Cricetulus griseus: one gene and its partners. The protein of the gene in region 2 purifies or fractionates together with the protein of the main gene of each other region. This does not show direct contact. Links are inferred from orthologs where the notes say so. Each region holds a gene or a part of one and is shown on either strand. Other genes may lie near its edges. The genes, in order: Snx9, Faslg and Snx33.

Region 1 (10,675 bases), on a different chromosome or scaffold from region 2:
TCCATTCCTCCCTCCATTCTCTCTCCAACCCACCCACTCTGATTCAGAACTCTCCTTCTATGACACCTGAGTACACTCACTGCTGCTCACACATGCCTGTGTTTAGAGCTGACCACTTGAGCCTGGGTAACCTGTCAAGGGTCTTTCTTGTCCCCGAAGAGGCCTAGCCCTGACTCACCCTCCCTCAGCAGCCACTGAATGGCTGGGAAACTCTTCCCTGTGGGTGGGGCCCAATGAATTTCCATCCCCATTGGTATGCTGTCTGGTGTGGTCATTATGCAGGCTGTTTGGGCAACCACATTACTGAAATGTTTGGGTAAGGCTTCCTATAGTGTCTAGAAGACAGCACATCACAGCGGGCTTCCTGTCCTCTGGCTCTGATAATCTTTTTATCCCCTCTCCTGCAACAGCCCATTTTAGGATTTCCACCAACTACAGAATATAAATCAGTAAGGCTATGTGAACAGCATATTTAACAAGTTCAGCCTAATGGACACTCACTAACTACATACATACAGAGAACTAATAGACCCTTTCTGCACACAGAAAACACATGGCCAAATTGCTTCCTAAGTATAAGCTTAGTCTCAACAAATTTCTAGCTACAGTACCAGTTATCAATGAGATTCCTTGAATAACACTTTCAAATGAGAAATAGCCAACCAAAAGACAATGGGGAAATCTTAAGCATAATGCTGACAACTCACAGGTTAGAAACTAACTACCCTTTGAAGTCTCAAAGTGTGAGGCTGGTTCCAGCCATGGTAACACACTAACAATCAATTTTTTTACATATTCATGAGTAGATCCATTGTATTTCAAAACATTACTAATACCTAAGTTGCAGGTATAATTTTTTGCATTGTGCATGTATACTTTTAAAAAGAGTTGCTAACTTAGAGTTGGAGATTAACTATAGCTTTAATAAGTTATAATGTATGGGTCACTGTGTCAGTAGACCATCATTGTGCTCTTCCAAACTGATGCTGGGGACACAAAGATGAGCAAACACAACTCCAGCCTCCAGGGGCCACAGCATCTTAGGAGGCAGCACCAGTTACGGATGCACACAAAATTGGCAGCTGGGAAGGATGGCAGGACCCTGTACCAGGAGATGACCGACATGGGAGGCTTCTAGGAAGTGATGCTCTGGGCTAAGACCTCACGTGCACAGAGAAGGCACACAGGAAGGAACAGCATACAAACCACGTCAGGGCTTTCTTGACACAGTCTCACACCCAGACAGGCCTCAAACTTAGATCCTCATGTCTCTATGTCCCCAGAACTAAGATTCCAGAGGGACTGCTACACTCTGTTAAGAGCTACCAAGTTTTAAGCAGTTAAAGCCAAGCTGTTATTTAATTTTCAGATGATCAATATAAATGCAAAACACAGTAAAAAAAAACAAACAAAAAAACCAGTGTTTGCAAAACTATTACACTTTCTAATCTCTTCCTCCTTTACTAAAAATTATTTCATTTCTATCCTTACAGAATCTTTCTCTGACTGCACATACACAGATATTTAAGACATAAAATACCATTACAAGACAATAATTAGGAAGCATCTCCTACACCATTTTAAAAATTATACAAATCAGCTAGCTATGGTGGCATATGCCTGCTATCCCAGCACTCAGACACAGAGGCCTGCAATCTATGGGAGTGTAACTTGGTCTATAGAGCAAGTTCCAGGCCAGTAAGGGCTACATAGTGAGACCCTGTGTCAAAACAAAACAACTACAAAAAAAGTCTTGTGTGTGTGCATGTACACGTGCATGCATACATGTGTGTACATGTCCATGTATGTGTGGAGGCCAGGAGGACAGAGGTCACATAGGTTGCCTTTCTTGTTCTCCATCTTATTTTGAGACTGTCTAACTGCCTGGAGCTCACTGACTGAGTCATACTGGCTGGCCAGTGAGGTCTTCCCAGTGCTCTAACTACAGGTGTGAGCTCTTGGCTTTCTTTTCTTCTTTTTTAATTAGGATTCTGGAACCCAGGTCCCCATGCATGTGCACTTCACCAACTACACCAATCTCAGTCCTGTAGCATGATTAATAAAAACCCAAAGAAAGACATTGGGGTTCAAACTGAAAAAAAAAAAAAAAAAAAAAAAAACCGAAAAACTGAAAAAGCAAAGCAGCCAAGCCACTACAGAGTCCTTAACTCTACCAAGGCTCAGACCAAAAGGGGTCGATCCTGTCCTCAGCGTGACTATAGACTGCAATGCTCTCCACCAAACCTCAGACTGCACACTGTACTGCACTGGGCCCCTGCCTTCTAGTCCTCTCTAGTGCTGGAGTTAAAGGTGTGAGCTCTGTTTCACTCTCATGTAGTTCAGGGTGGTCTTGAACTCACAGAGATCTATTTGCCTCTGTCTCCCGAGTGCTGGGATTAAAGGTGTAGCCACCACTGCCTGTCTAACTAGTTAGCCACTGTCTAACTAGTGGCTTAGGTGTGTGGCTAACTAGTGGCTTAGCTCTGCAAGCTTTATTAGATCATAACAAAATATCACCACACAGCCCCTCAGCTATAATTCTTAAGACTCTTCAGGTAGGATTTCTATTATTCAAATAAAGAGGTTTTTGCTTAGAGAGACTGCAAGGTTGTTTTCTAAACTGTCCTTATGGATATAGTCCAGTGAAGAGTCTCATCTACCCAGACCTCTAATGTTCCACACTCACTCAATTCAACCAAAAGCTGCATTAACACATATGTGTAATGTCAGGTACTGGGTCTGAAAAGTGAAGTTGGAAGGGGAGGTAAATTTTATTATTCCAGGGGACCATGTAAGCACAAAGGGATCCAAATCAATTAGCAAAGATTAATTTGGTATGGAACTTACAGCTAATCATATGGATATAGGCTAATTGACATTCATTATTTTATGTTCATTTTGACATAAAAAATTCTCAAGACTTGATCTTTGAAGTGAGCTAATGTTTACTCAAATTCACTGCAGGATTATGTCAGAGCATAATCTCAGGAGACATCTAACAGATGTCAAGACAGAAGCGCTCCTACGGCCTGTCGCTGTATTTGTTAAATGAGACATGACTGCTCTCTAAGCAGTGTGCTCACCTAAGCAGAGTTCAGCATGCTACCGAGATGAGAAACAAAACCAGGACCATCCCTTTAAAATGTACAGTCACTGATTATCTGTCCTTCGCAATGAAGAACTGCCCAACTAAAGTTATTCTACAAGATCTCTTTTTTTTTTCTATTATGACTCTACCAAGAGCTCTGAAAAGTCATAAGATTCAGGACAATTAGAGAGACGGCCCAGTGGCTACAAGCACTGCCTGCTCTCTTCCGGAGGAACAGGATTCAGTTCCCAGCACCCACATGGAAGCTCACAACTGTTAACTCCAGTTCCAGGAGATCCAGTGGCCTCTTCTAACCTCCCTGGGCACCAGGAATGCATGTGGTACACAGATGTACATGTGAACAAAACACCCATACACATAAATAAAATAAATAATTTAAGAAATAATGGGACTTCAGAGATACGTGCATTAAGAACAATGAAGACGGAAACTGTATCTGCAGAGAATCTGCTTTTCTGGTAAATACTATGGCAATCCCAGCACTACCTCCTCAAAGGTCCAGATGAAACATTTACCTCCCAACACTTAGCTCTTCCAGCAAAAGCCCGAGTACCACTTGGACTTAAAACATTATTAATAGTCCATCATCATTACTAAGTACATCTGACCACCTTCCTCCATGATGAAAGGGCAGAAAGAGAAAAATCCAACTGTTCAGCTGTAGGAAAGAGAGGGGTGTGTATTGGGGCTGGGATAACCAAGGACGACAACTTTGCTATCTAGAAACAACTGAAAAATGGGGCTTTGGTTTGACATCTGGGAATAGGATAGCCAGAAAACTGCAGCAGGGTTCCCTTCTAATGAGGGCTCCCCGGCCAGCCCTTCTTCAGACAGCAATGGTCTGTCATCCAGTCCACGTGGGAATGCACGCCACCAGAAACTGTGATTGCAAAGTAGGGAAGGGCAACAAGGGCCAGGAGAGCTGGAATTTGCCTCCAGAGAAGCAGATAACCAACTAGGAAATGCTTACATAGGCTGAGAGACTCGTGTTCAATGAGGTCACAGGCAACCCTACTTCAGTACAATGATGCCTGTGTTCTTCACTGGAAACGTTAAGTCCAAGCTTCACCGGGAAATAAACTTCATTAAGCATGCATTAGCTGCTAAGCCAAAGTCGGCATGCCTGCCTCGAGGGGGGGGGGGTTACAAACTGACCCCTACTGAACAGGGTTTATGTCACAAACCACTGTCAAGGCTGCAAGATAACGATGTAACTGGATTTGCAATTTCTGAAACGTTTGGCAAGAAACCTCAAAATCAAATTTCCTTAGAAAATCTTTTGCTTGAATTATGACTTATTTCCAACAAGGTGGTCACAAAATCAGTATGTTAAAGAGATGGCCAGTTGGTTCATGTCTAATAAAACCAAGCAACAACACAGCCCAGATATACTAACAAGGCAATTATTCCAACAGCAACAGTAGCGGGTTCCCTGGAGAAGCTTCATTTCTGTATAAACACACCACCTAAACAGATTCAGAACACGCAATTTATCTGAGCACCAACTTCAAGAGACTAAGGGATATCAGGCACTTCTTTCTGATCTTTCAAACTCCTCAACATTTTTCTAAATTATCCTTCCATAAACCCCCACCTTAAAAAGTTTTCATCAACCCAGAGTGGCTTAGATATTTGAAAAATAAATGTGGGAAGATATGCTGATGTGTGACATAATCAAAACAAGTTAATGTACTACCCACACATCACAGATCATCAGGGGTTCACCTACGGTGCTTCTCCCCACCCGAGCTCCTCATTTCCAAGGCTCAGGCTTCTCCCAGTGGCTGTTTCATGCCCAAGTCACTACTGACATCACATAAGAAAAGGGAACCAGGGAAACGAATTTATGCAGACTCAGACAGCAAAAACGGACTGCTAATTTCACAAACAGTAACATAACTAACATAAGCAAGCCAAGACTCCTGGCCATTGACCAAGCAGGAACCAAAGTTCCACTAAGCATTTCGGGCCTTGGCCCTTTTTGTTGTTTTTCTTCTGCGAGCAACCACGTAGTCTAAAAGCACAGTCATTTCCCTCTTGATACTTTATTCACTCCGAAAACGTCCCATTCAAACCGAAAAGACAGCAAAAACAAAACGAAAAAATGAGAGACTTGAAGGCAGAGGGCGCGGAGCGCGGCTCCCGGCTCCGGGAGGCTGCAGCGTCCTCCCCGCCCGGCTCGGCCCCCTCGTGCGCGGGGCCGCGGTCTGGAGGAGGAGGCAGGCAGGCAGGCGACCTGCGACAGCCTCCGAGAGACCCGCGGCTCTGGGGCCGCGGGAACTTTCCATCCCGGGCGCCCGGCTCAGCTCAGGTGCAAACTTTGCAAAGCCGCCTCCCCGGGAACCCGTCCCCAGCGCTCCTCCGCTTCGGTGCCCGCGGCGGCGGCCCGGGAGGCGGGGACCGACTCGTGAGCGACCGCCGGGGCTCTTCGGCCTCCCTCCGCCTCCCGCCGCGGGGCCGAACGGCCGGTCCGGCCTGCGCGCGCCCCTCACCTTGGTGGCCATGGCGGGCGGTTCCCGGGCCCCGGTGGGCCGGCTGGTGTCCCGCGCCGCGGAGCTTCGGCCCTAGCCGGGCGGGGAGGACGGGTTCGGCTGCGGCTGGCGGCTGCGGTCGGGCACGGCGCGGCGCTCGATCTCAGCCTTGCTCTCGGCGCTCCGGCCCCCGCGGCTCGGCGACTCCCGCCGCCCGCGCCTGCAGTTCCTGAAAGTCCCCGGCTGCGCGGCCCCCGCCCCCGCCGGCCAAGCCTCCCATGGACCGCGGCGTGCGCGGCGCGGCCGGCGGAAGCGCGCCTGGGGCCTCGGCCGCAGCCCGGCCTCCTCGCCCGCCCAGGCCTCCGCCCCGACCCCGTCGCCCCAGGCCCTGTGTGCGGGGCCCACGGCGGGAGCAGCGGCTGCGGAGTCAGGCGAGCAGCTTGCGAGCGGCCTGGTCCCGGCTGAGCCGTTCGCGGGGTGCGGCACTGAGCCTCGGGCCCGGCTCGCTGCCTGCGGGAGGAGAAGGAGGACGACGACTCTGGACGAGTCCGGGCCCGAGCTACCTGCCTGGGATCCCCGGGCCTCGGCGGGGCTGCTGCGGAGGGGTCGGGGTGCTTGGGGGCTGACGACCGCGAGTGCCACATAGACAGCCAGCCCGGGCCGAGCAATGGCTTCCTGCTCCCGGGCTGGGAGATCCTGCCTCCTACATGGAGTTTCCCCAAGGCTGAGGTCTGGCCTGGGCTTCTTGGCCTGGACGCTTAGGGACTCCATTCTGAGATGACCCACTTCTGCCCTTTGGAGCATTAAAAAAAAAAAAAAAAAAAAAAAAGCCTCAGAGGTTTGAGGGAACAACCGGTCTCCTTAAGTTGAAAGAGAAGTCCAAAGTATAACGTCTTTAATTCAGAGTAGTTTGTCCACAGTTGATTCTATATGGATTTTATTAATAAACGGGTGACATAAATTGAGCAATGAGATTTTTCACAAAAGTCGCCCCTGCAAGATTTGCCTTAGTTGTTGCAATAGTTTAATACATTATATTTTTTATTAAGGATACATATTCTAGGTAAATAAAGTCGATTCTATTACCTCAGGAAGTTGTTATTTAAATTCACTGTCAGATTTGTAGCTTCTTGGTCTGGGGGTTGAAGAATGAAAGACAAATATGTATGAGCCCTTGGGTTTGCCACCCAGCGCTGGAAAAAAAAAATTTTTGACTCCCCAGAGAGTTAGGTAGTTACAGCCAATAATAGTGTTTAGGTGGTACTATAGAGTTTTCTGTGAATGTGTGTATATTGAACTCATGGTCAATGCTATAGTCAGCCACGGTTATATTCTTAAGTGAGCGAGTGTGTGTGTGTGTGTGTGTGTGTGTGTGTGTGTGTGTGTGTGTGTGTTATGTGTATGTGTAGTGCTGGCTAGTTATGTCAATTTGACAAAGGGTAGAGTCATTTTGGAAGGGGGAATCTCACTTGAAAGAAAAGCTCCTCCAGATTGGCCTTCAGGCAAGCCTGTGGTACATTTCCTTGATTGATGAAAGACAAGTACCGCATCTGGGCAGGTGTCCCGGCGGACATAAGAAAGCAGACTCAGCAAGTCTTGGGGAGCAAGCCAGTAATCAGCACCCCTCTCCACAGCCCCTGCATCAGTTCCTGCCTCCAGGTTCCTGCCTTGAGTTACTGCCCTCATTTCCTTCCTAGATGGAAACTGTGATGTGGAAGGGTAAGCAAAATAAACCCTTTCCTCATCAAGTTGGTTTTCATGGTGTTTTATCACAGCAGTGAAACAACTAACACACACACACACACACACACACACACACACACACACACACACACACACACACTGGGCATGGGTGGGTACATACATATAGCACGTGTGGAGTTAGCTCAGAGGACAACTGGTAGGAGTCCATTCTTTTCTTCTGCCATGTGGGTCCTGGAGATCAAACTGAAGTGGTCACATTTGGCAGCAGGTGCCTTTATCAGCTGAGCCATCTGGGCAGCCCAGACTTGTCTTTCTAAGCACAGGACAAGGAAAGTCATTGAGAGCCTTCTTTCTGCATACTAGACTTGAAGCCTCCATCTCACTTAGCCCTTTGAGAAAGTTATTATCTAATTACTTACAATGATGAACAAAGGATGGCTCAAATAACTTAACCTGAGTTGGGAATACAAAATTGGAAGTAACTACAGCCTTGGGCCCAGCAACTTCTAGGAATGCATCCTGTCAGACTTGGGCAAGTTAGCAAAGACATTACCAAAGCATTTTAAGACAAACTAGAAAACACCTATATACTTGTTAATAGGACTGTCCCGATAAATAAGGCAAATTTATACAAATTAAGTTCTTGGAGGTTCATAAATTGATAAGACAATCACTCCTTTATCTTCACACATCCCTGAATTCAGACAGTCTCAGACTGGAACTATCTGAAAAGAAAAATTGTATCTGCACTGATCATGTACAGACCTCTTTTTCATGCATTATTTTCTAAACAAAATAACAGCAATTTATCTACCATTTGCACCATACGTAGTTCAAAATACATGGGAGGATTCAGAACAGTTCTATGCGAACACTATGACATCTGTAAGTGGACTTGAACATTTTCAGAATTTATGCTCATAGGGAGTCTGGTATCCATCCATCACCAAAGGCAAACAGTAGTTTGAATATTGCCAAAGATGAAAAAGAACATTGTGTACAGTACAATCCATTTGTGTGAAGAACATAGAAATAAGAGGTACAAGTCCAGAAAATCCTGGAAAGTTTAACCCAATACTATTAGCCATGCTAAGAAATTATTTTAAAGCATGAGTTTATATATTAAAAAATATTTAATTTGTATAAGTGCCAAGGAGTCATTGGCCCCCTGGGACTAGTGATACAGATGGTTGTAAGTCATCATTTGTGTGAAATGAACCTGCACCCCTGGAAGAGCAGTCAGTATTCTTAACTACTGACATCTCTCCAGCCCCATTTTAAATTCAAATTTTATGTTTATTTGTTTTTAAGACAGCTGTCCTGGAACTCACTCTGTAGACCAGGGTGGCCTTGAACTCACAGAGAACTGCCTGCCTCTGCCTCCAGAGTGTTGGGATTAAAGGCGTGTGCCACCACCACCCAGCGTAAAAAGTTTTTTAATTTACTTTTTTACTTGGTAAACAAGGAAAAAGTTGTTTTAAAATTTTTTAAGGAATAAATAAATAAAAACCACTGCTGTGTAAGATGCCAACATTTGAACACAAGGAACACTAGAAATATTCTTTCAAGTGGAAAGGCTGGATATACCTCTTTGCAACAATTCCACATGCATGTTTTGATGGGAAGGTACAAAGTTCAAGTGTCACACCTTGGAAGACAGGCTCTCTAGAAACCTGTTTGTAAGTTCAAACGGCTCAGGCATCAAGTTTCAGCTTCTCCCACCTGTTAAATAGGAAGTGTCTCCCCCAGGCTCATGCATTAAAGGCTTCATATCCTGTTGTAAGAGAGGTGATTAGATCATGAGAATGCTTAGCTAAACTAACGAATGGATTAATCTATTGAAGGATCCGTAATTTAATTATTATGCAGTAAAATTTTCTAGAAGTGGGGCCTAGTTGAAAGAAGTAGATCACCAAAGCATGTTGTTGTAGATTATATTTTCTTTGCTTTTGTTTTTGAATAACAGCTCATGATTTTTTTTTTCCCCTCATAACAAAACCAGCTGAGAGCTGGACCTCTTGTCACTTTCTCTTCTCACCGCCTGGAAGTCACAGTGCTCATATCTCAGAGTAGGAAGCATCCTTTCAGATCTGCAGATGGGCTCACACTCAGGTCTCAGCACAGTCAGCAGTTTGAGTCCTTTGTGGAAAATGGGCTTAGTCGGCCCACCACAGCCACTGTTTCCTGTCAGAACACTGTGTATTCCCTGGACATACAAAGCATGCTTGCCTTTCTTGAAGTGGTGGTCACTTTGTGGGGCTGGTGCTTGCCACATATCTTGTAGAAAGTCAGATGGCAGGTGGGTCTTAGGAATGTTCACCATATCAGCACAAGGGGGAAAAAAGCAAGGTTGTATGGTGTCTGCTTCCTGGCCACCACAGGTGAACAGTTGTGATCTATCATGTCCATCTGACGATGACGTTTGACCTTATCACAGAGACAACAGCAATGTGCCAACTGACCTCGGACTGAAACCATGATTCAAAATGAGTCTTTCCCCTTTTTATTATTTTAGGTGTTGGTAACTGTGACAAGACACTAGCATACCATGTGAATGATTTCTGTATTCCTGATTTTCTTTTTAGATTTAACCATGGAGAATTGATAAGCAGTTATCAATTTGGGGATTACTCAAAAAAATAAATAAAACAACAATAGAACAGCTATACGATCCAATAATGTCATTTCTGAGCACATATCCAAAGAGAAATTTCTGTTACCGTGTTCATAGCAATTCATACAATCAGAAGACATGGAGCCATCCAAATGTCCATCAATAGATGATTCTTTAAAAATAAAAAGGATGTTTTGTCATCTGTGACAATATGCAAGAGCCTGGAGAACATTATGCTAAGTGAATTAAGCCAGAACAATTACTGTATAATCTCACTTTTTTTTAGAATCCAAAAAGTTGAACCCTTAGGAACAAAATAGCTCTAGTAACTCTTTGGAAGATCACCAAAGGCCTGGAGTGGTGAAAAGAGAATATTGGTCAAAGGGTATAAATTTCAGATCTGCAGAATAAATAAATTCTGGAGATGGAATACTCAAGAGCGGGGTTATAAAGGAGGATGGGCCCCATAAACTCATATGTTCGAATGTTTAATGGTTGGGGCACCTGATTGGAAAGGATTAGGAGGTGTGGCATTGTTGGAGGAGGTATGTCACTGTGTCTATTGCTATGAAGAGACACCATGACCACAGCAACTCTTATAAAAGAAAAACATTTAATTGGGGTGGCATACATTTTCAGAGGTTTCGTCCATTATCATCATGGTGGCATGCAGGCAGACATAGTGCTGGAGAAGGAGCTGAATGTCTTACATCTTGACTTGCAGGCAACAGGAAGTAGTCTGTCTAACCTGGTGTGGCTTGAGTATATATGAGACCT
Region 2 (10,453 bases):
AAATTGGCTGCAGCTGTTGTTCTCATCTCCCTTCACATCTGTGTGACACCCGTTTTCTCTATCATCTGTCCAGAGCTTAGAGCTTTAAGGTGAGCTCCATCCTCAAGAGTGCACATTTTATGGCCAAGATCAAGCCATACACAAGTCTACAGCATTAGAATTGTCAGATTAGGCTCATGAGATCCCAGAGATATGAATGGTCTTGAGTGGTAAATACAATTGTCAATAATACTTTCTAAGAGCCTACAATGGAAATTGAGCATTTGGTCCACAGTTTTCCAGACTTTCTGTCCTCACCCAGTCCTTCCAGACACAAACCTGTTAAATGGGCCACACACCTCGGCTCTTCTTTTTCAGAGGGTTGACCGGGGTGGTCTGCATCATAGAGAGACAAAAGACATGTGAAAATTATGATGATGGGTGCCAACCACTATCTTGATTGGGACTCTAAATCCCACTATTTAAATATGTGATTTTCAGAGCATAGGGGGAAATATTCTAGTACAGACTTATCAAGAAATTCTAAACTGTGGGACTCATGAGAGTCTGTAATTCAAAAACAGTTTAAAAAGACAAGACAGGTAAATACAGATGAATACATAAATTATATTATGATAAAATAGCCATTTCATTTACTCCATTTAGAACTTGCCTTGACCCCTTTATTGTCCCAATTATAACTGGCAATAAGACATTAGTAACTGACTGACTTTAACGGTGGATGCAATGGGCACCTTGGGCTGACTGTAAATCCCTGGTCTGTACACCCTGATTCTGCTGACCTGTAGACTACTGATTCATCTCCTGGGCACCAATCTACAATCTATTTCCAAGGTGATAATATTAAGACCTCCTCATCTATCACGAGGTTGTCCACAATTTTACTCCATCATGTAGCCTTAGCCAGAGTTCCTCTACATGGTATCAGTCTTACTCCCTCTATTCCATCCCATCAAACACTTGCACACAGCATGGGTTCTATGAACTGATTATGCCCCCTTCTTCCCTGCTCCTGGGCTTTTGCTCATTCTGTCCAGAACGCCCTCCAAATGAGATCTCTGAGTTAAATTCCTGTCAATTATCTAGTGACCATCTTACACTCCTCTTCCTTTGGGAAACCCTTCCACACTTTTTGTCAAATATGGCCCTTCACCCTTCAAAGCCTAAGACCCTTCTGTCTTTGCCTCTCTTGATAGTTATGGCTCCTCCCTCCTAGGGCAACTATAAAAACTGCCTTTACTTCCTTCTTGTCCAGGAAAATAGCAGCTCTCTGGAATAATCACTTTATGATCTAAACTAGTACTAACATTGCTGGACTTTGGGATCCTGGCTACCAAGTCTTTCCCTAATGCCATTTTACTATATAGTTAAGTAACAAGAGCATTTAGCCTTGTTTAGCATAGTATCAGTAAATTAAATTGAAGTCATTAAAACTGACAATATCTTTTTGAATAAATGCTATTTCTCTGACTTCAAATACCTCAGTTAAGGTAAAAATATAGTACTGGGCTTCATGAATTCAGCTAACTAACACATTAAAAAAAACACTTATAGGAGGGTGCTTGTCCACCTTAGATTTGGGACTAGACTATAAAACACACACAGGGTGTGAAAATATACCTGTTTACTGAGAATATTATCTAAAGAATTGTGACCTCTCTAGCACCTAGAACAACCCTTCTTGAAGGAAGTGTGAGGGAAAGGATAGGCAAGACTGGACCTCTTACACACCACAAACCACCGGAGTAGATGACCTGGCATTCTGCCATGCACTAACAGGAAATGGAGCAGAGAACCACATGTTGCTTAGATTTATATTTCTCATAGAGCCTAGTACAATGCTATTCTCATAAAATATACTCTTATAAATGTCTGCTGGACAGGTCCTAGAAATATCTAGAAATATGAGGAAAGTCTTTTTCCTGCCCCAGGCTCTTTGCATGTGCAATGTGGAATGTCCTTCCTCCTCCATGACCCATACATCAACTCTTCTTTTTGAGAGGCTTCTGATAGCTTCCATGTGCATCAGCATAGACAACCCTATAAAGGATTTCCAGACCACTCTACTTTGGATCACTCTTAATACTATTTGGAATTGTATTGTTGACTTGTTTTTGTTCATCTTCTCCACTGTGTTATAAGATACATGAGAGCACTCCTCCATCTTTATCTCTCTCATTCTCAAACACCAACCAAGACTCAGCCTCAGCCACAGAAGGTTCTCTAGAAACCTTGTATATAAATAAAACATCCAATTAGTTAACCATGGAGAAGATAGAAGCATAAGAATTAATAGGCCTGATTAGATGGCTGGGGAGCTTGCTGCTAAGCCTGAGGACTGAATTTGATCTCTCAAACCCACTGGTAAAAGGAGAGAACCAATCCCCACAAGTTGTTTCCTGACCTCCACACACAAGCTGTGGCAATACATATGCACATGTGTATGTAAACACGCAATAAGATTATTAAATTGTTTGAAAAAGTATTTTAAATGGAAGAAAGAAATCTATGATAACTATAGTGTCTTCCAGAAAAAAAACAATCACTTTCTATATTCATTTGTTTTTTTCTTAGAAGTTAAAAACATGCATACATATTTCATAATGAGTATTAAACTAAAAAGAGCCTTTGATAACTTGACTATTTACCTAACAATGTAAAGTGCACAATATTTATGACATTAAAAGTCCTAGGTGGTTCTACTAGATGTTTTTGTGCCATTCATAATGGTGTATTATTCATGTGCCACAGTGTATTCAACTCATCTCCTATTCTGAAGGTTAGGTTTCTTCCAAATTGTTTTATAAGAAACTGATGAATAGGACTGGAGAGATGGCTCAGAGGTTAAGAGCACTGGCTGCTCTTCCAGAGGTCCTAAGTTCAATTCCCAGCACCCACATGGCAGTTCACAACTGTCTGTAGCTCCAATTCCAGGGGATCCGGCACCCTCACATAGACATGCATGCAAAACACCAATGGATATAAAATATAAATAAATAAATCTTTTTTAAAAAATAAAAAGCCAGGTGGTGGTGGTTCACACCTTAAAGAAGGAAAGAAGGAAGGAGGGAGGAGGGAGGGAAGGAAAGAAAGGAAAGAGAGAAAAAAGAGAGAAAGAGATGAACACTATATATGTAAATTATTTTATCTATCTCCAACTATTTTCCTAAGAGAATCTTTTAGTGTTGAGATTACAAAGCAGACTAACAGTTCAAGCCCTTGGAATGAACTTTCCTATGTTCTTCATGGTACTTACAACAATTTCCATGCATGCTGGAGGAAACTTGTGCCAGATATGACCTTTTTTTCTCACACATATTTGTAATTTGTTTTCTTATTTTTGTGAATTTGAAGGAAGAAATAAATACCCCTTTCCTTAAGTCAGCCCCTCTTAATAGCAAAGTGATAATTTTAACTTTCTTGTGACAGTTTATCAGTTTCTGGCCATCTACATTGATATAAAGAAGATAACTACTGGGGTAGGTAGACCTGACTCATTTGTCCACTTGACTTTTATTCACAAAAATGACTCCATGGAGTGGGTGACAGGGAGTGATTAACACCTATACACAAGCCTCGTTCCACTGATTTTCAAAGTGATTTTACTTTAAAAACCCTGAGAGGTTTCACTTTTCTAGCAAGTTATTTCCACTGTCCCTGTGTAATCTGGGCTTTCTGGTGCTTAGAGACTTGAACACTGAGCTGAAAACCAGAGCACACCATGGTGGCCCTTACAAGAGCTTATATTCTCAGGCAGGAGCTGACTGCTCACTTTCTGAGTATGGAGCCCACTCTCCTTAATGGATGGCCACTGTTGTCTGTTGCCTTTCAACTTTCTTCAAAGTTTGTAGGATAAAACTGCCCTGTTGCTTTTGCAAAGGCAACTGCTTTGCATCATTTCAGGGCCATTATTGAGAGGTGGGAGTTTCTCTGTGAATCAGAAACAAGGCATAAGGGGACTGTTTTCCTGTACCCAGCTTCATACCAGAAGACATGGGCATTGAACCTAATTGGTATAGTATTTTGTATCTCTCCTGGAAAATGGAAAATAGATCACTTTCTCCCTAAGTTCCTTTCCAATTCAAAAGAAATATAAAGCTTTGTGAACATGAGTCCAAGACATATAAAAACAGATCCTCATATCTCTGTTCAATCCCTAAAAACCATGCCCTGAGATTTTATGTTCAAACTGATCATCTTCCTCTTAGCCTGGATCTAGTGTGTGTGTGTGTGTGTGTGTGTGTGTGTGTGTGTGTGTGTGTGTGTATGTGTGTGGTGTTTTTATCATCAAACTCATCAAAGGCATCTTAAGTCCTCTGTGGGGAAGGTGTACAGTCCTGTGGACAATGGCTAAAGTCTTCCCAAAATACCTAACAATTTCAGAAGAAAACATTAAGGAAAACAATGGGTTTACTTAAAATTTATTTAAAATATCTTACAAGATATTTTAAAAATACATCTTCATTCTTGAGTAGTCACTTTTAGTTTAAAAGGAGGAGAGGACATCTCCAGAAACATTTGTGTCTGCCTCTACTCCCTTTCTGTCTTGAGGAGTCACAGCCACCCATGTGAGATGGGACCAAGATACCCAGGGAAGGGGCAAAAGGAAAAGTCCAGGGCTGTTTGTATGTCTCCTTCAAAAGTCAAGCCCAAGTTCATTTGAGTTATATGCAGTGTTCATTCAGATACATGGCTATTGAGCAATAAACTTCATCCAATTTTTTTTGTAGTTCACGGAACCGGACTGAATGCAGAGTCTAAGTTCCCCAGGATCTTGCAAAGGAATTGTAAGCCTAAGAAAGGGGAGACTCCCAGGCATCCTTCCAACTCTGTTCAGTGTTGAGGACCACTTTGGGGAATTCAAAAGACATACATAAAAGTACTTACATATTTGCTTTTCAAAAGATGATACTTTAAGGCTTTGGTTGGTGAGCTGATAAAAGAGAAAGATTCATACAATAAATGTGGAGCTATTTAAGCCAAGCTGTCAGAAAAATCCCATCAGTCCCTAGAAAAAGAACTCAGATACTTCAGATCCTGGCCCAACTTAGATGTGAGCCACACAATGGTATCTGGAGTAGTACTAAGAATTCCAAATCTTTTCAAACAGATTTAGTCTATACTTCCAATCAAGATCCAAAATTGATTTTTTTCCTTGAATCACTAAATATGAAGCTATAAGAAGTTTATGGCATTCTTGACAACGGAGAAAGGAATAATTATTTGCCTCAGATCTCTAAATGATGGAAAATATTCCCCTTGACCAGTGGTTGTCAACCTTCCTAATGCTGTGAACTTTTAATACAGTTCCTCATGTTGTGGTGATCCCCAGCCATAAAATTATTTCATTGTTACTTGATAGTGCAATTTTGATAGTGTTATGAACAATAATGCAAATATCTAATATCCAGGAAAACCCTGTGAAAGAGTCATTCAACTACCCGGAGGGGTCGTGACCATATGGCCCACATGTTGAGAACCACTGTCTTTGAGGGAGTGAGCATGTCTCTCCAACTGTGGAATAGAAATACTATACCAACCCTTTCCTAAAACGCAGGGGATTAAAATTATCTTTACCGTTAAAACAAACAAACAAAAAACGCAAATCATTGCAAGCAATACAGTGGCCCACATGCAGCAGAGTCATGTTGCACCCAGGGACTTGGGGCCTTATTGATCCCTATGCCAGGCTTACCTCACGGAGTTCTGCCAGTTCCTTCTGCAGATGGAAGAGCTGATACATTCCTAACCCCAGTCCAACCAAAGCCGCCACAACCATGAAAAATATCACCGGTAGCCATTGATCTATGCTGTGGTCCTTCCTCTTCTTCAGAGGTGGCATTGGCGGCAGTGGGGGTGGTGGTGATGGTGGTGGTTGTGACGGAGGTGGTATCGGTGGTGGAGGAGGTGGTGGTCTCCTTTGGTCCGGCCTTCCAGGCACAGAGGATGGACAGGGAAAAACTGACCCTGGAGGAGCCCAAGAAGAAGTGGCACTGTTGTCCACCCAATAAATTTGGGGACATCCATAATTCACAGGCTGTTGCATGACACCCTGCCCTGGGAAAGGGTTTTCTTCTCTCAATCTTGCAGAGACTCTTGAAATGTGGAGAACAGGACTCCTGACGCTGACTGTTCCAGAGAAGATAAGTGAGTGCGTTCTCTTTTATAAAGTTTCCACAGTCAAGGGAAACACCCCTCTCTCTTTGCTTCTCTGTGAGACACCCACTCACTTTGCATCTGAAGCTCAAAAGCCTCAAAAAGCTCTCAGCGACCCCAGGAAGTTTCCGCCCACAAATTTCTGACGAAAGTCTTCGAAATGCAATTGGCGTTTCTATGCTGCCTGAGGTGGCTGAGAAGTGCCTGAGGTCCGGATTCTCCTTGAGAACATGAGCTGTTCTCTAGCTGCAAGAAATGAACTGTGTGGCATTTTGGAGCTGATGCTCAGAGGAAAAACCATGGAGTTCGGCTACAGAAGCTATCTCCACATCTTAGCTTTTGCATGGGGAATTTAATCCCCTGTTGCTGTTCCTTCCCTCAACCGAGTACTACCTACCACCATAGCCTTGCAGGTCACCATCATTTCATAGTTCAGAAGGTAAAACCTGCCTCACCCATTCCCACAGATTAGATCAGAGGTTGCAAACCACGGGCCCATGTGTCTTGTAGTACCACAAAGACTGCTTTCCTATCAGCAGTGTCTTTTCTTCCATTAATTGCTCACTTTCAAACTACATACCTCTATTCTCTTTGAAAACAGTGGAATATTAGGCATCCCTGGCCATCTCTGAACGCCAGTTGGCTGCCACCAGGAATGTGCCTCAGGTGGTCCACGCTGCCCCACTGTGCCTCCTATCCCACTTCCCCTGAGAAGTGGCTTTCCAAGCCTCTGTAATCATCTATCATTGCAATCCCTGTTATGGTCACCAGATGAAACTTCAGGTGCCCAATTCAGAAGAGACTGGGATAAACAACAAATAATTTTTATGGCATATGGGCTTTAACCGTCACACAGAACATGCTAAAACTTTATTCAGCAATTACAGCAAAATCAGCTATATATCTTATGACTTTCTAAAACTGCCTGCCCTGCCTGGGTTGACTTCACTCTGGCCACACACACAGCATTATGTCTAATAAGTTCTAAGAACTCAGCCTCTGTTTCCAGCGTTTTCCCATATAAGCCATATAAATTCCAGAAATTCCTATATTCTGTCTTTCGGGGCAAGCTCTATGTCTTAAATATTCATAGTTTTTGTCTCATATTTGGGGATTTTTGAGATGATCACCTGACTTTCTCCTTTATGCCAAACCTATACCTAAAGTGTCATTATCCTGCTGCTGTCACCCTGTCTCACCCCAGCTGCAAATCCAACCTCTTTCTCTGCTGGCAATCTCATGATTCCAGTCATCCATGCCTGCCTTATTTTTTTTTCACCTCACTCACTATTCCCATGACTGTTGGCCCTGGTTGGTCTCTCCTTGCTTTCCTACCTGAGACTCCCAGTGTTCTTTGATAATCGTCATTCTGTCCTTCCATGTCTCTCTTTGCCCTTCTTCTTTTAATTCATTTTTTTTTTTTTGATAGAGGAATCAGAAGCCAGGTCTTCCTAACCCCTACTGCCCTCCAATCACAGGGAGAGGAGAGGAGTCCCTTGATGAAAGAGACAAGAGAACTTCAGGAAACTGGTTTGGAATTTGGTGGTTCAATCCAGCATTCCCCCAGGCAAGATGGAGAAAGAAGAAACACCTCTGTGAACAGTCACAAGACCCATCACATTGGTACCAAAGCCTTATTTTTTTGGGGGGGTGGTTTTTGAGACAGGGTTTCTCTGTGTAGCTTTGGAGCCTATCCTAGCACTTGTTCTGGAGACCAGGCTGGCCTCGAACTCACAGAGATCTGCTTGCCTCTGCCTCCCGAGTGCTGGGATTAAAGGTGTGCGCCACCAACACCCGGCGGGTACCAAAGCCTTATTAATGAAAAGAAATCGTCATTTGAAGTAGAACTTAGCACTGTGGCTGCTGAAGGAAAAACTAATCAAGAACCGCCAGGCTGGAACCTCAAGCTGATTGACTTCTCTCAGTCTCCTACTGTTACTATCCCAGGGAATCTGCAGGAAAGTTGACTCAGTAGACTACAGACCAGAGCTCTGGAGGTGACTCAGCAGGGGGATGCACAGTCAGAAAACCTGCTGTTACTTTTTTTAACTAGCCCAGAGAAACCCTCCAAGGCAATCTGCCAAGTAGACAGGAAGATTGCAAATGTAAGCAAAGACCATAGTACACTCCAAGTTTGAGTTTATTTGTGAGCGTGAGCCTACTAGGTCAAGTTCTCTAAGTATTTCCAGGATGCTCATTTGGCAGCTCAATCCCCTGACACCACCAGCAGTTACAAGGACCATCCTAGCCTGGGCTTTGCTCTCTGCTCTGTAGCATCCACCTTTATAATTTTTGCCAAGCATATTATGCCTATGAAGATAATCTCACCATCTACTACTTGCCTTCTCTCTGGTTCCTTATGAGTTTGAACATCAGCTGTATATTTGTTGGGCAATCCATTTTCTTGTTATGTGCATATTCTGTTTGCCAATTAAAAGTTGTTTATCTCCTCCATCTGATTTGCAGGATTTTCTTATACTTTATGGATATTTTAGATGTAAAGCCATGGCTGCTTTCAGATATTGCAAATGTCTTCTCCCAAATGCATGCAGATTGCACATTTGGGTTTTAATACACACTTTTGCTTATGAGTCAGGAGTCTATATTTTTGTCTATGTGTTTATGTGACAAAAAGAGAAATCTATTTAAAAGACAAAGTTTGATTTGGCTCATGGTTGGGAGCCATGCTGCACAGTTTCAGACCAGTATATGAGTGCTTGTCCATATGGGGTCTCCAGATGAGGCAAAAGCCCACCGGGACAGTTGCACTCAGCAAGGACTGGTGGAGTTTTGGACAGTGCAGAATTCTGCTGAGACCACGTGGCCTGAACACTCTCTTCTCATACAATGATTGATGATTCTTTTGGTGGTTTTAGTGTCATTTTGTCAATCATGCATTTGACAGATGTGAACATTCCTAGAAAACCCATTTTTTTCTTGAGTATCTTCCCCTAAAATTCTCAAGTTTGGGGATGCCAGCTGTCACTTCACATCCCAGGAGCTATCCTAATTCGGTGCTGATAGGATCAGAGGTAGGTTACCCCTATTTCAGTAAATATGCTTATATCACCCCTATTTCTGTAAATATGCTTTGAACGGGATTGTTGATCTTGAAAATGTGTGCCTATGTCAATCACCTTTTAGTTTTGTAAAGGCCGGATATACTTGGCTGGATATTTGGCGAAGCTAACAAAATGATAAGTGTTGTTTTGGTTTAAAGATGTTTTGATGTAAAAGCTGGGAGAAAACATATTTCTTTTTGCTGGAGCTGGAGGATGGGAAAAGCTTGTTTGTTAGTATGGAAAAACATGCTTTTTTATGTATAAAGATGGTTGGAGTTACATGGACAGGCCACTTGTGTAAAATTCTCCCGGCTGCCAGACATTTCATTTCTTCATGCCAACGCCCCTTTCCCATCTCAAGACCTGAGCCAGCTGCGACTGGATCAAGGCAGTTCATGACTTCAGTGTGTTCAGTAGATGGGTAGCAGGGGTGAACGTCATGGCAGGGAGCTTGTTGTATAACAAAGCTGATCATCTCATGGTGGCCAACCAGCACAGGGCTTGCTTTTTATAACAAAGCTCTTCCCCATGGTTATTCAGTTCATGAGATCAGAATTGTAATGATCAAATCACCTGGCCCCTAGAGGGCCCCTTGCATTTTAGATCAAGCCTCCAAATACATGAGCCCTGAGAAGACATTTCAGATTCAAACCAGGGGCTGGAAAGATGGCTCAGAAGTTAAGAGCACTTCCCAGCCCCTATGTTAGGCACCCCACAACTACCTGCAACTCGACAGGATCCAGTGTCCTCTTCTGGCCTCAGGTACCTGCACTTACATGTACACACCCACATATGAGGCACACATGCTTACACACAATTAAAAGTTATAGAAGTGTTAAAAATGCAAATCTTGTACAGTTTCCTCAACTCAAGCCATCTTTTTTTCTACTGAATCACAGTGGCATAGTTATCACAGTTTCCACTGATGATTGATCCATCTTAGAGTTCTCAGTTTTGTTTGGTCTATCTATCTATCCTGGTAAGAAAATAACATAGTCCTCTTAGTCATAGCATTGTAGATATGTTTTTTTTTTCTTTATAGAGACAAGCAGATTTCCAGTGTGGTATGTACCCAGGCTGGCCTCCTACTGGCAGTTCTCCTACCTCCTTTTCTTAAATTATGGAATTACAGAGGTTCACCAACATGCCCACCAACTTTGTAAAGGTCTTAAATGTATTGGCACTTGTTTAGGCAAAATTTCTTTCCTCTTTGTTCTTTTTAAGAAATTGCATGA
Region 3 (10,651 bases), on a different chromosome or scaffold from region 2:
CTGAGCCTGGCTTTTGGGTAGGATTTACCCATTGAGCCATCTCCCCAGGCTGCAAACTGTTTTTCTATCCAAAGACTCACAGCAATGACCTGCCCATGGTGACTCATGGCAACACAATTGTCTGTCATAAAAGCTTAGAAGGTATGATAACACACACCTTTTGTTCTAGCACTCAGGAGGCAGAGGCAGGCAGGTGTCTATGAGTTGAAGGCCAGGTCAAGTTCCAGGCCAGCCAAGGCTATGTAATGAGACTCTGTCTCAAACAAAACAAAACAGGATATGAGGGCTGGGTGGGATAACATACATCTATAATCCTAGTACTTGAAAGGTAGATTAGAATCCTGTTCTAATCCTAGAACAAGAGGATCTCAGAAATTCAAGGTCATCTTAGGCCATATAGCAAGATCCAGTTTGAGGCCTACCTCAGCTATATGGGAATCTTTCTCAAAAAAACAAAATAAGTGGGCTACCTATGTTGTAGTGGATGTGGATGGCCTCACACCCACACCTAGCATGAGTATATGAACAGCTCAAATTGAGCTCAGTAAGTTCAATTTATTATTTAAAAAAATAATAAGGGATGGTGGTACATGCCTTTAATCCCAGTTCTTGGGAGACAGAATTTGAGACCAGCCTGGTCTACATAGAGAGTTCCAGGCTAGCTATGGCTATCTAATAAGACCTTGTATCAAATACATACATACATACATACATACATAAATAAATGGGGAGTAGGGAGGTGAATGCATCTGGGAAGAATTAGAAGAAAGAGAGAGGGGTGAATATGATCAAATTATACTGCATAAAATTCTCAAAGAATTAATAAAATATTTAAAAAATTAAAATAGCTTAGGCAGATCAAGAACAGTAGAACATGCCTGTTGTTCTAGCACTTAGTAGACTGAAACAGGACAATCAAGAGTTTGAGGCAAGGCAGTGATGGTGCACACCTTTAATCACAGCACTCCGAGGCAGAGGCAGGTGGATCTCTGTGAGTTCGAGACCAGTCTGGTCTACGGAGTGAGTTCCAGGACAGCCAGGGCTACACAGAGAAACTCTGTCTCAAACAAAACACAAACAAGAGTTAAGACTAGCCTGGGTGGCTCACAGCCATCTGTAATAAGATCTGGTGTCCTCTTCTGGTGTGCAGATATACATGGAAGCAGAATGTTGTATACATAATAAATAAAATCTTTAAAAAAAAAAAAAAAGACTAGCCTGGGGTACAAAGAAAGACCCTGTTTCAAAAAAGAAGAAAGAGGAGCAACTGCTGCTATTGGAACTGGAAAGATGGTTAAACATACTTGTTGCTCTTGCAAAGGGCCAGAGTGTAGTTGGCAGCTCACAAGTATCTGTAACTCCAACTCTAGGAGATGCACCCTCTTTGGGCCTCTGTGGGTACCCTCACTCATGTTCACATATACAGCTCCAAACACAGACACATGGCGATACATATGATCAACAGCAAAGCTAAAGGAGCAGAGCAGCAGCAATCACTGCTGAGGTGAAGAAAGAATTCTATAAGGCTGAACCTATCTGTCCCCTTGTCAGGAGCTTGTACCTACAGGAACTGCCCTGCTTTAGGTAAGCCACAAGCTCCAAGGTCCCCCAAGGATGCTCTGTAGTCCCAGACCTGCCTCAGGAACACAAGCATACCAACTGAGGTGGTCCTAGACTATGAAGTCCAAGCCTCCTTCCTTCCTCCTTTCCCTTCTGTACCATCAAACCCAATTAACCAGCCCTTGGGAAGTTCCCTCCTCCATCTGCCTGATGCAGTAGATTCCAACATACTTGGCCCTATACCTACTCTGCCGTCAAATCACCTCAGTGCTGAAGGGACCATACCAGCCACTGGCCCTGTTTCCTGCCTCCCCGGCCTGGCTGGGCCTCCCCCAACTGTTCTCTCACATGCTCACAATTTGTTCAAACGTCTAGATGGGACAGATAGAATCCTGTGCAGCAGGACCAAACATCCTGTTACTTTCTCTGAGAAAAGTCTCTATCTACAAGGCTAGTACAGGATGTTCTCCCCCTGCAGTTTCCAAAGCCTGCTCAGTTCTGTCTCTTAGATCAACTCCAAGCCCTCCTCTCAGACTCACTCTAGACTCAGGCTAGAACTTAGAACCTAGAGTAAGCAGGGCTTGCACTGCAGGTGGCCGATACAGGGTAATGACCTCTGGCAGCATCTGCTTCAGGCTGCCCGGTTTCCCCAGAAGGCAGAAGCCCCTGACTCTAGGAAACATCTCAAGTGGAGACTGAGACATGGCTTCTCTTAACTGTCTGAGGTAGAAAGGACAATGTAGGTTTTTTTCCCCTTCTTTGGTGAGAGTCTGGGACACTCAGTGTGTGAACCTGTGATTGTCTCTCTTGCCCCAACTCTGCCCTAAGTGAGAGTCTCCAGCGACTGTGTTGGGATAGCTGTTTAATCATTGTGCCCAGCCTCTTGCTGCCCACACAAAAACATGTCATCCAAGGAGCTGGTTGAACCAGCTTTCCCAGGCCCAGCACGGTGTGTGGCTCCACTTCCGCACAGGGAGGCGGGAGGCGTCTGCTCCTGCCAGGCTGGGCCCCCTCTCTGAGTGCAAAGGAAGATCTATGGGACCAGCCTGAGGCACAGGGCAGGCTTTCCCCAGAAGTCTCTACCTGAAAGGCCTAAGAAACTAAGGTCCAGGAAGGCAAAGGCCTTTCCCAATCAGGGACACAAGGAAAACTGGGTGTCAAGCCAGGCTAGAACTCAAGCTTTGATTCCCTGGGGCTGAAAGGGAAAGAAAGTAGGTGGAGATGTGAGGGTTCAGCAAACAAAAGAGGTAAAGGAGAAGGTGATGAGGGCTGCCAGACAGAGTTCTGACAGCCACCATCATGATTAGGACAGGGGCCTGAGGGCAGAGGTAACATTTGCTTTTCCCTACACTCAAACCAGAGGGGTTGCCCAGAGTAAAACTCCTTGACCTCAGGGCCTAGGGTACTGGGAGCTGCCACACGCCCTGATATATTCTTCCTGAGTTACCAGCCCCAGGGAGGACCACACCTCTCTCTTGACTCTGCCTTCCCTAAGTCTGGACTAAGTCACCTGTTAGGTCAGCCCCTGACTCAATTCTTATGCAAGAGAAGCCCAGCTTGGGAAGGGAAGATACACTGGCCCATGTGACCAGAGCCCTGGAACTCTGGTTCTATTCCCCTGTGCCCAGCTTAGTGCTCCATGTGACCCAGGATGAGTCACTTCGCTGGCAGTTCCTTAACAGCAGCAACAGGCAGGGGCTCATCCTGTCCCTCCTCCACACAGGGGGCCATGAGAAGTGAAAACATGATGGGCCTGGGAGGCAGCCAATATGGATATGTCCTTGGGGAGCTGGAGGGAGGAAGGGATAGTCCCATGTGAGCCACAACCACTGTGCTGTGGACACAGACTTATCTGCAAAATGAGGACAGAGATCTCCTGCACAGAGAGACTAGCAGACAGGGTAGAGGGAGGGCCTAGGCTCAAATGCCTCAAAGGTAGGAGCTGAGCCTATGAGAGGGTAAGGCAACCTGTGTCTGTGTCTTGATTCCCCTTGAACCAGGGGTTCATATAAGGCACAATCTGGGATCTGGTTATCTCTGTGTTCCCAGAACCCAGGGTTGTTGTACCTGTGGTTCCATGCGTGATGGAGCAGATGAAACACAGAAAAACCAGAGTGGCCAGCATGGTATACACAAGTTCAGTGAGAACAAAGACCAAACCTGTCCACAATATCCCTCTGCCTACAACAGCACTCTCTACAGAATCATCTCAATACATTTGTTGAGCCTGCAATAGAGATGGAGACAGGAAAATGTGATGAGCTATTGTCATCATACAGGCTGTCACCATACAGCAGAACACCACACTTAGGAAGGGCTTACCTTTTTGCAGGTGGATAATGTCAGGGAAGTTGGAGAGCAGGCCCTGGTAGAGAGACAGTGTGTCAAGCATTTGGAAGAGATCATTCTTGGGCTGTTCAGCGAACATCTCACCAACAGTTTCATAGGTCCGGCCGGTGTGAGAAATGGCATTGTTGAGGGCCTCAGAGCTAAAGGGAGGATCCATCTGGAAGGCATGGCTAATGGCCTGGAAGGCACTTCCTAGTTTCTGGAATTCCTTGCGGAAGCCTCCCACATGCTTCCGCACCAGCTCTGATGCTACAGTGCTAAGCTGCAGAACACTGTCATCCATCTTCTTACTGAAAGCCTTGAATGTATCCACACGGTCCTCTACATCCTGCAGATCCTGGTGCTCTGTGGGGATTTGGAAGGTGAGAAGAAAGCTGGCACCCACCATCTCATCCTTCTCTGCCCGGCGTTTACCCATCTTCCACTGTTTGTCATCTAGGCAGCTGAGGAAATGCTGGAAGCCCTCATACTGAGAGAGCACTGGGTGGCTAGTCATGTGGTCCATCCAGAGGATGAGTCGTCGCTTGCGTTTCTCAATGAAGTCCTCCTCAAAGCGGCCAGTGGCCTGTTTCTCAGGCAGATGGGGCACCGAGATGACAGTGAACTTGTGTAGAAGGCGGTTGTAGAGCCAGTCGAAGTGTTTGTAGCGCCGGTAAACAGGTGAGCCAGCATGGGTGGGTGTAAGCTTGTAGGAAATATAACTTTTGATGCCTTTGAACTTGGTCTGTTTGGTGGGGTCCTCTACAGAGCAGGCAAATGGGTGGGGGTTGGCCTTCCATTGAGGGCCCCTAGGGCCCATCTCAATGGAGTATGTCTCAGCAATCTTGGCCATCATGGGCACATCACCAAGGATGAAGGCCTCCACCCCAGAGCGCACGAAGCATGAGAAACGATTAAGGTTTCGTCCCACCACACTGCCCCGCTTGGCAGATGACAGACTGTCCTGCCTTTCCAAGGGTGCCTTGGGTCGGAAAGCCATATGCTGACTGGGGTAGGCACCCGGGTAGGAGAGGTTGAGTGGAGGGTGCCCATTGGTACCTAGGCCACCAGCCCTTGGCTCTTCTACCACTGTGCATCCATCATCCCAGTCATCCCAGTCATCATCATCATCATCCTCAAAGCTTCCTTGGTTTGAGAGGAAGCCACTGCCCTCACCACTCCTGGCTGGGTTGGCCATACTAGAGCTGTTATACAAACTCACTTGGGTACTCAGGGAGCCTGCAAGGCTGCTAGGGTAGTCCACATAGTTGGTGGTGATGCCAGGACGGACAATCTCAACATAAGAAGCAGGGAAGAGCCCTGTCTCCCCACGGCTGTTCTGCCCCTGCAGCCAGCCGTCCAGTGAGGTCTCACTGAAGATAACCAGGTCTTCATTCTGCTGGATGCTGATTTCCTCTTTGTTCTCACTGTGGAAATCATAGAGGGCTCGGCCTTTCAGTGCCATGGCTAGGCTACCTGGTCAAGACTGGAAGGGAAATGCCTTGCCCAGACCCAGGATGCTCAGCAGGGTGCCCAAAAGTGTACTTGCAGCTCAAAGTCTATTATACCTTACTCAGACCCCCAGGCAGGGTCTCAGCATAAACTGTCTAGCTGCCTTCTCTTCAAAGAAATGTTCATGGTCCAGAAACTGACTTATCCAGTCTTGGGGTATCTGCCTGTAAGCAGGGAGAGATTGGTCATGACCACAGTTTTTCTTTTCTCCCTTGGCAGCCCCTGAGAAGGAGGGAGTCTCTCCCTCCTCTCACATCAAGTAGAAAAGCCAAATGACCTGAAGAAAACAGCTCTGCTAGAACAAGAATCCAAAGCGACAGACACTTTCCACTAGAACAATGTTGTACAACAGAAAAGAATCGGCCCCGGAACAAGGTCCCAGGATCGGAGACTAGTTTCTGCCTCCCCAGCTCCCAGCTCCCAGCTCCTTCTAGCAGCTCCGGCTTTGGGAGGCTCTCACATTCCTCTGAAGATCTGTTCCTTCCTCCTTCCTCTCTCCTCCCAGGCCACCGCGTCTTCAAGAATCCAGAAAATCCAAGAGGGGCAAGGAGAATAACAGCAGAGTCCTGAACCAATTCCAAGGGTGGATGTGTCCGGCCTCCAAACGAGCCAGGCAGGGAAAACAAGGGCCAAAAGCTTGCACAACCAGCAGATAACTACAAAATCTAGGGGGTGCGACCCCGCCTCGCCCGCTCTGGTGCCCTCTTCCCGCCCAGCAATAGCCCCTACCCTCGGAGAACAAGGGGGGGACAAGCCTCTCTCTCTCTCTCTCTCTCTCTCTCTCTCTCTCTCTCTCTCTCTCTCTCTCTCTCTCTCTCTCTCTCTCTCTCTCTCTCTCTCTCTCTGCCTCTTTTGTTTGCTTAATTCCTCAGCAGTTTCGGAGTACCTAAGTTGACCCTGATCGGAGTCCTAGAACCCCTGTCCAGAAGTAACACTAGTGGAAACCTCCACCATCACCCCCCACCACCACTGGTGTGCCAGCAAACACTCAACAGTAGTTGGTAGATGGAGTTCCGTCGAATAGATGGCGCGACCGGCTGTTTGTCCGGCCGGCCGGCGGTTCGTTCTCTGCGATGCCCTGTGGATGCGGCCCGAGAGGGATGAGCTGAGTCCTAGTCTCTTGCCTCTTTCCACCGCACTTGCAACTCCTCAGCGCTGCCAGCGGGAAGCCAGGTCCAAAACAAAACAAAAAAATAAAAAAAATAAAAAAGAAGGAAAAGGAGTCCAGGAGGTGGCGTCCCGAAGAAGGAGGAGAAAGCAGCAGGGGAGGTGAGGGGTGGGGAGAGAGAGAGAGAGAGAGAGAGAGGGAGGGAGGTATGAGCGAGGGAAATCAGGCTAGGGAATTGGGCAAACTCCACAGCACTTCCGCGCGTCCTGGAGCAAGGACCGCGCAGCTCCGCCCTCCCGAGGCCAGGGTGCCACCACCCGCTCTCCGTCCTCTTTCCTTCTGGCAGGCGCCCTCCCACCCTCGGGTTCAGTCCGGGTGGCTGGGATTCGGGAAGTGCACCGGGAGTCGGGGAGCTGCAAGGTTTCAGCAGCAGAGTTGCCGGTGCCGAAAGCCACCTCTCGCCCCGGTGGGAGCGCCGCGCGGTGGAGCTCGTCAGCCGCCGCGGGGCCTCGCCTCCTGGCCTCGATCACCCGCCTGCCTTTTCCGTGACGCAATTGCAGGAAAACTCCGAAAGTTTGCCGAGCGCCGAGTGGCAAGGAGGGAGCTAAGGGCTAGGAGAACCGCGCCGGCTTCAGGGGAGGCGACCTGCGGAGGCCCCTTTCCCAGCCTCCTTACCCGCCTTGCTTGCTCTGATCAATCTGGTGACTAGCACAGATACGGGATTGTTCTCAGAGGGGAAGGCAGCAAACTGTGCGACCCTGGTGTCCCGCATGAGATACCGGATGCTGCGAGCCTGATTGGGCCAGGAGCACCCCTGCCTTGGGCAGCTTCCTTCGGTGGGGGTGGGGAGCAAGAGTATACTTCAGCAGTGGCAAGGAACTTAGGCACAGGCGGGTTCTGGGTTGCCTTTTCCTTTCGTTGGAACTGAGTCTTAAATTCCAGCCAGCAACACCAAGGAGAGGGAGTAATCTGGTAGATAGCCTCTAGGCTTCCAGGATTTGACCCTCCAATTTATGCAAAACGCGGTGAACCGATTTATGCAAAACGCGGTGAGCAGATTAGGAGAGGAATTGTGCTAAATTCTGGAGCAAATAGCACAATGGTTGGATTCCTGCCGTGCCCCTTTGGTCTTTAATTCACCCAATCTGTCTCATTCATTAAATTGTATATTCCAAACAACAAATTAACCGAGTACCAATAATTTGCCAAGCCCTGGAAAAACAACAAAGTAAGAAAACTGTGCTTCCCTTTTGGAAGCGCGTTAAGTATCTGCACAGGTGGGCAAGATGTTCCTGCCTAGTGTATCCAGTGCTGTGGAAAATGCATGGGAGGGCACTTAGCCTGAGTGGAACACATATCAAGGACCTTCTCTTTTCCTCGGAGACGTCTGAGGTTACACAAAGACTTCAGCCCAGACTTCTTTCAATTCTGAGCCCTGGAGCCTTGTTTACCGCCCCCTGGCTAGAGTTTCCTACTAGTTTAAATTAGTGCTGCTAAAATTGGGACCTTTGGCTGTTTTGAGGGACATGATTCCCAGACCTCTGGCTTCAAAACTCGTTTTCATTGGTACAATCTGGATTTGACTCTCTGAAGATTACTAATAGCTGGTCGTGGTGACACACATGGGAGGAGAGGATCCTAAGTTTGTGGCCATCATAGTGAGTGCCAGGCCAGCCTGGGACACAAATCGAGATCTTACCAAGTTAAAAACTGGGCAGGAGCTGAAACAGAACTACCATGAGTTGGAGGCTGGACTACAGTGTGAAACCCTTTCTCAAACAAAACAACAACAAAAAAACTAGCTGGGGGCTGGAGAAATGGCTCAGAGGTTAAGAGCACTGACTGCTCTTCCAGAGGTCCTGAGTTCAATTCCCGGCAACCACATGGTGGCTCACAACCATCTACAATTCAATCTAGTGCCCTCTTCTGGCATGCAGGTAGAACAGTGTACATGTAATAAATAAATAAATCTAAAACAAACAAACAAAAAAATAGCTGGGTGTGGTGGTAGACACATTTATCCTAGAACTTGGGAGACAGGGGCAGGTGGGATAGGCCTATACTTCAGAAAGCCTAGCAACTGTATGGAAGGAAGTTTCTACAACAGTACCTAGTACCCAGCAACCACTAAAGAAATAGTTGTTATTGTTAGGCTCAACTAGGAGAAAGGTCTGTGAACAAGAAGAGACTCTCAAGCAGGGAGAGGAATGTCTCCGGCGGAGGTGGGAAGGTTTTACAAGTTTGAGGCCAGCCTGGTCTATCTAGGAAGTTCTAGAAAAGTCCAGCTAGGGCTACATACATAGCAGGACCCTTTCAAAACAAACAAAAGAAAGCAGCTGGGAGTCTTTAGAGTCAAGGCTCTTCATATGTGTAGTTATATATTGTTTATAACCTAACAACTAAAGTTTGCCTGAAGAACAGAATGCTAACTAACCACACACGTGTTTTAGAGGTAAGCCACTAGTTAGCCATAGAAGACAGACAGGCAGTGGTGGCCAAACGTTTAATTCCAGCACTTGGGAGACAAAGGCAGATGGATATCTGTGAGTTCAAGGCCACCCTGGGCTACATGAGAGTTAATCAGTCTAAAAGAGAAACAGAGCTCATACCTTTGATGCCAGCACCAGGGACATTATAAGGCAGGAGCTCAGTGCAGTCTTGGTGCAGTCTGATGTTTGATGGAGAACATTACAGTCGGCAGTCCTCCGAGGACAGGATAGTGTCCCCACCCCCCACCCCCTTTGGTCTTAGCCTTGGTAGAGGTAAGAACTCTCTAGCAGCTTGGCTGCTTTGCTTTTCTGATCTTCAGCTTAAACATTATCTGTCTCTAGGTTTTTATTATTCATGCTACAGTATGGCAGGGGTGGGGGATGGGGACGTGTGTGTGTGTGTGTGTGTGTGTGTGTGTGTGTGTGTGTGTGTGTGTGTCGTGGGCTATCCTGGCCACTGAGCTTCCCAAGGAGCAATCCCAACTCTTGACCTACTGATGTGAAAATTCATTTTGCTTTACAGCTGTTTTTCCCTGAGTAAAACTACCCAGATTCTAGAGTTTGTGCACTCTTCTTTCTTTTCCTTCTTTCCTTTCTTTCCTTTCCCTTCTTCCTCTCTTCCTTCCCTCCCTCCCTTCCTTTCTTTTTGAGGCAGGGTCTCACTATGAGACAAAGCTAAGCTACAAATTGCAATGTTCTCCTGCCTTTGTTTCCAAGTGCTTGGGATGCAGGAATGTACCATAATACCCAGCTTTGTTTTTGTGACAAGGTCTCAAGTGGTCCAGTCTGCCCCTCCAACTTGCACATAATGAAGGCTCTGTAATCCAGGCACACCTTTTTGTAGTCCTCCTGCCTCTGTTTCCTGAGTAACTGTGACAACAAGCTTGCTTCCTATATCGTCTTTACTTTGCATTCAAACACTCCAGTCACACACAGCCAACTTGGATTTATTATATGCTCTAGGTATAGTTTTTCTAAATCTTAGGGGCTACCCTCATTTCCAAATTCTTAGGAAAAACAAGTGTTTCGGCCTACAGAAATTTCCAGAACCCCCTCTACTCACTAAATCCCAGGGATCCTCTTCAGGTCTAAGGGGAACAGCCTCATTGTTACTAGTAAAGTGCACTAACCCTTATGATTTCCCTGCACCCAGCTCAAAGATTACAGATTCAGCAAGTCTAGTCTCTGCCGTCCATACATCCTGAGATTACTGATTACTTTTCTCAGTTGCAGGGTGAATCTGTCTCAAAGTACTGAGCCTCTTTTCTTTTTCCCAGGACTTTTTTTATTGTTCTCCAGTTTACACTTTAGCAAATTGATTTCCATATCCTCAAAACATCCTGAGGAAGGAATGATGCCAAGTATAAATCCTTTCAATTAAGGAGGTGCTGCAGTTGTCCCCCAACCAAGTTTTGCATAGTTTCCCTTGGGGAAACTCTCAGGCAAGATTCATACAGAGAGCAACAAAAGAAACAAGAAACAAAAGATAACTGGTAAACAAAAGATGGATTAAGGCTTGGTGCTAGCACTTGGGAGCCAGACCAGGTAGCCCAGGGGGAATTCTGCCACACAGTGGGATCTGAACTCTGGTCCTTAAAATTGAGCCAAGCTAGCTCTCTGGCCCTCATTCTTATTTTTATTCTTTCTTATTTTT

What was found.
Region 1: the proteins of Faslg (region 2) and Snx9 purify together in Homo sapiens (co-immunoprecipitation; 3 studies listed by BioGRID and IntAct, with this or other methods). This does not show direct contact. The link is inferred for Cricetulus griseus from reciprocal best matches to the Homo sapiens genes FASLG and SNX9.
Region 3: the proteins of Faslg (region 2) and Snx33 purify together in Homo sapiens (co-immunoprecipitation; 3 studies listed by BioGRID and IntAct, counting the BioPlex papers as one, with this or other methods). This does not show direct contact. The link is inferred for Cricetulus griseus from reciprocal best matches to the Homo sapiens genes FASLG and SNX33.

The regions. Positions count from the first base shown.
Region 1 is NC_048595.1:286,966,101-286,976,775, reverse strand, and holds the start of Snx9 (sorting nexin-9), read right to left. Parts: upstream 6,367-10,675; 5' UTR 6,352-6,366; coding exon 6,148-6,351; intron 5,843-6,147; exon of another isoform or gene 5,614-5,842; coding exon of another isoform or gene 5,602-5,613; intron 4,218-5,601; exon of another isoform or gene 4,203-4,217; coding exon of another isoform or gene 4,080-4,202; intron 1-4,079. UniProt on the Homo sapiens protein: Involved in endocytosis and intracellular vesicle trafficking, both during interphase and at the end of mitosis. Required for efficient progress through mitosis and cytokinesis. Required for normal formation of the cleavage furrow at the end of mitosis.
Region 2 is NC_048598.1:30,334,805-30,345,257, reverse strand, and holds the start of Faslg (tumor necrosis factor ligand superfamily member 6), read right to left. Parts: upstream 6,047-10,453; coding exon 5,696-6,046; intron 4,934-5,695; coding exon 4,888-4,933; intron 376-4,887; coding exon 319-375; intron 1-318. UniProt on the Homo sapiens protein: Cytokine that binds to TNFRSF6/FAS, a receptor that transduces the apoptotic signal into cells. Involved in cytotoxic T-cell-mediated apoptosis, natural killer cell-mediated apoptosis and in T-cell development.
Region 3 is NC_048597.1:168,445,094-168,455,744, forward strand, and holds the start of Snx33 (sorting nexin-33), read right to left. Parts: upstream 6,512-10,651; 5' UTR 5,861-6,511; exon of another isoform or gene 5,565-5,860; 5' UTR 5,354-5,564; coding exon 3,883-5,353; intron 3,788-3,882; exon of another isoform or gene 3,628-3,787; intron 1-3,627. UniProt on the Homo sapiens protein: Plays a role in the reorganization of the cytoskeleton, endocytosis and cellular vesicle trafficking via its interactions with membranes, WASL, DNM1 and DNM2. Acts both during interphase and at the end of mitotic cell divisions.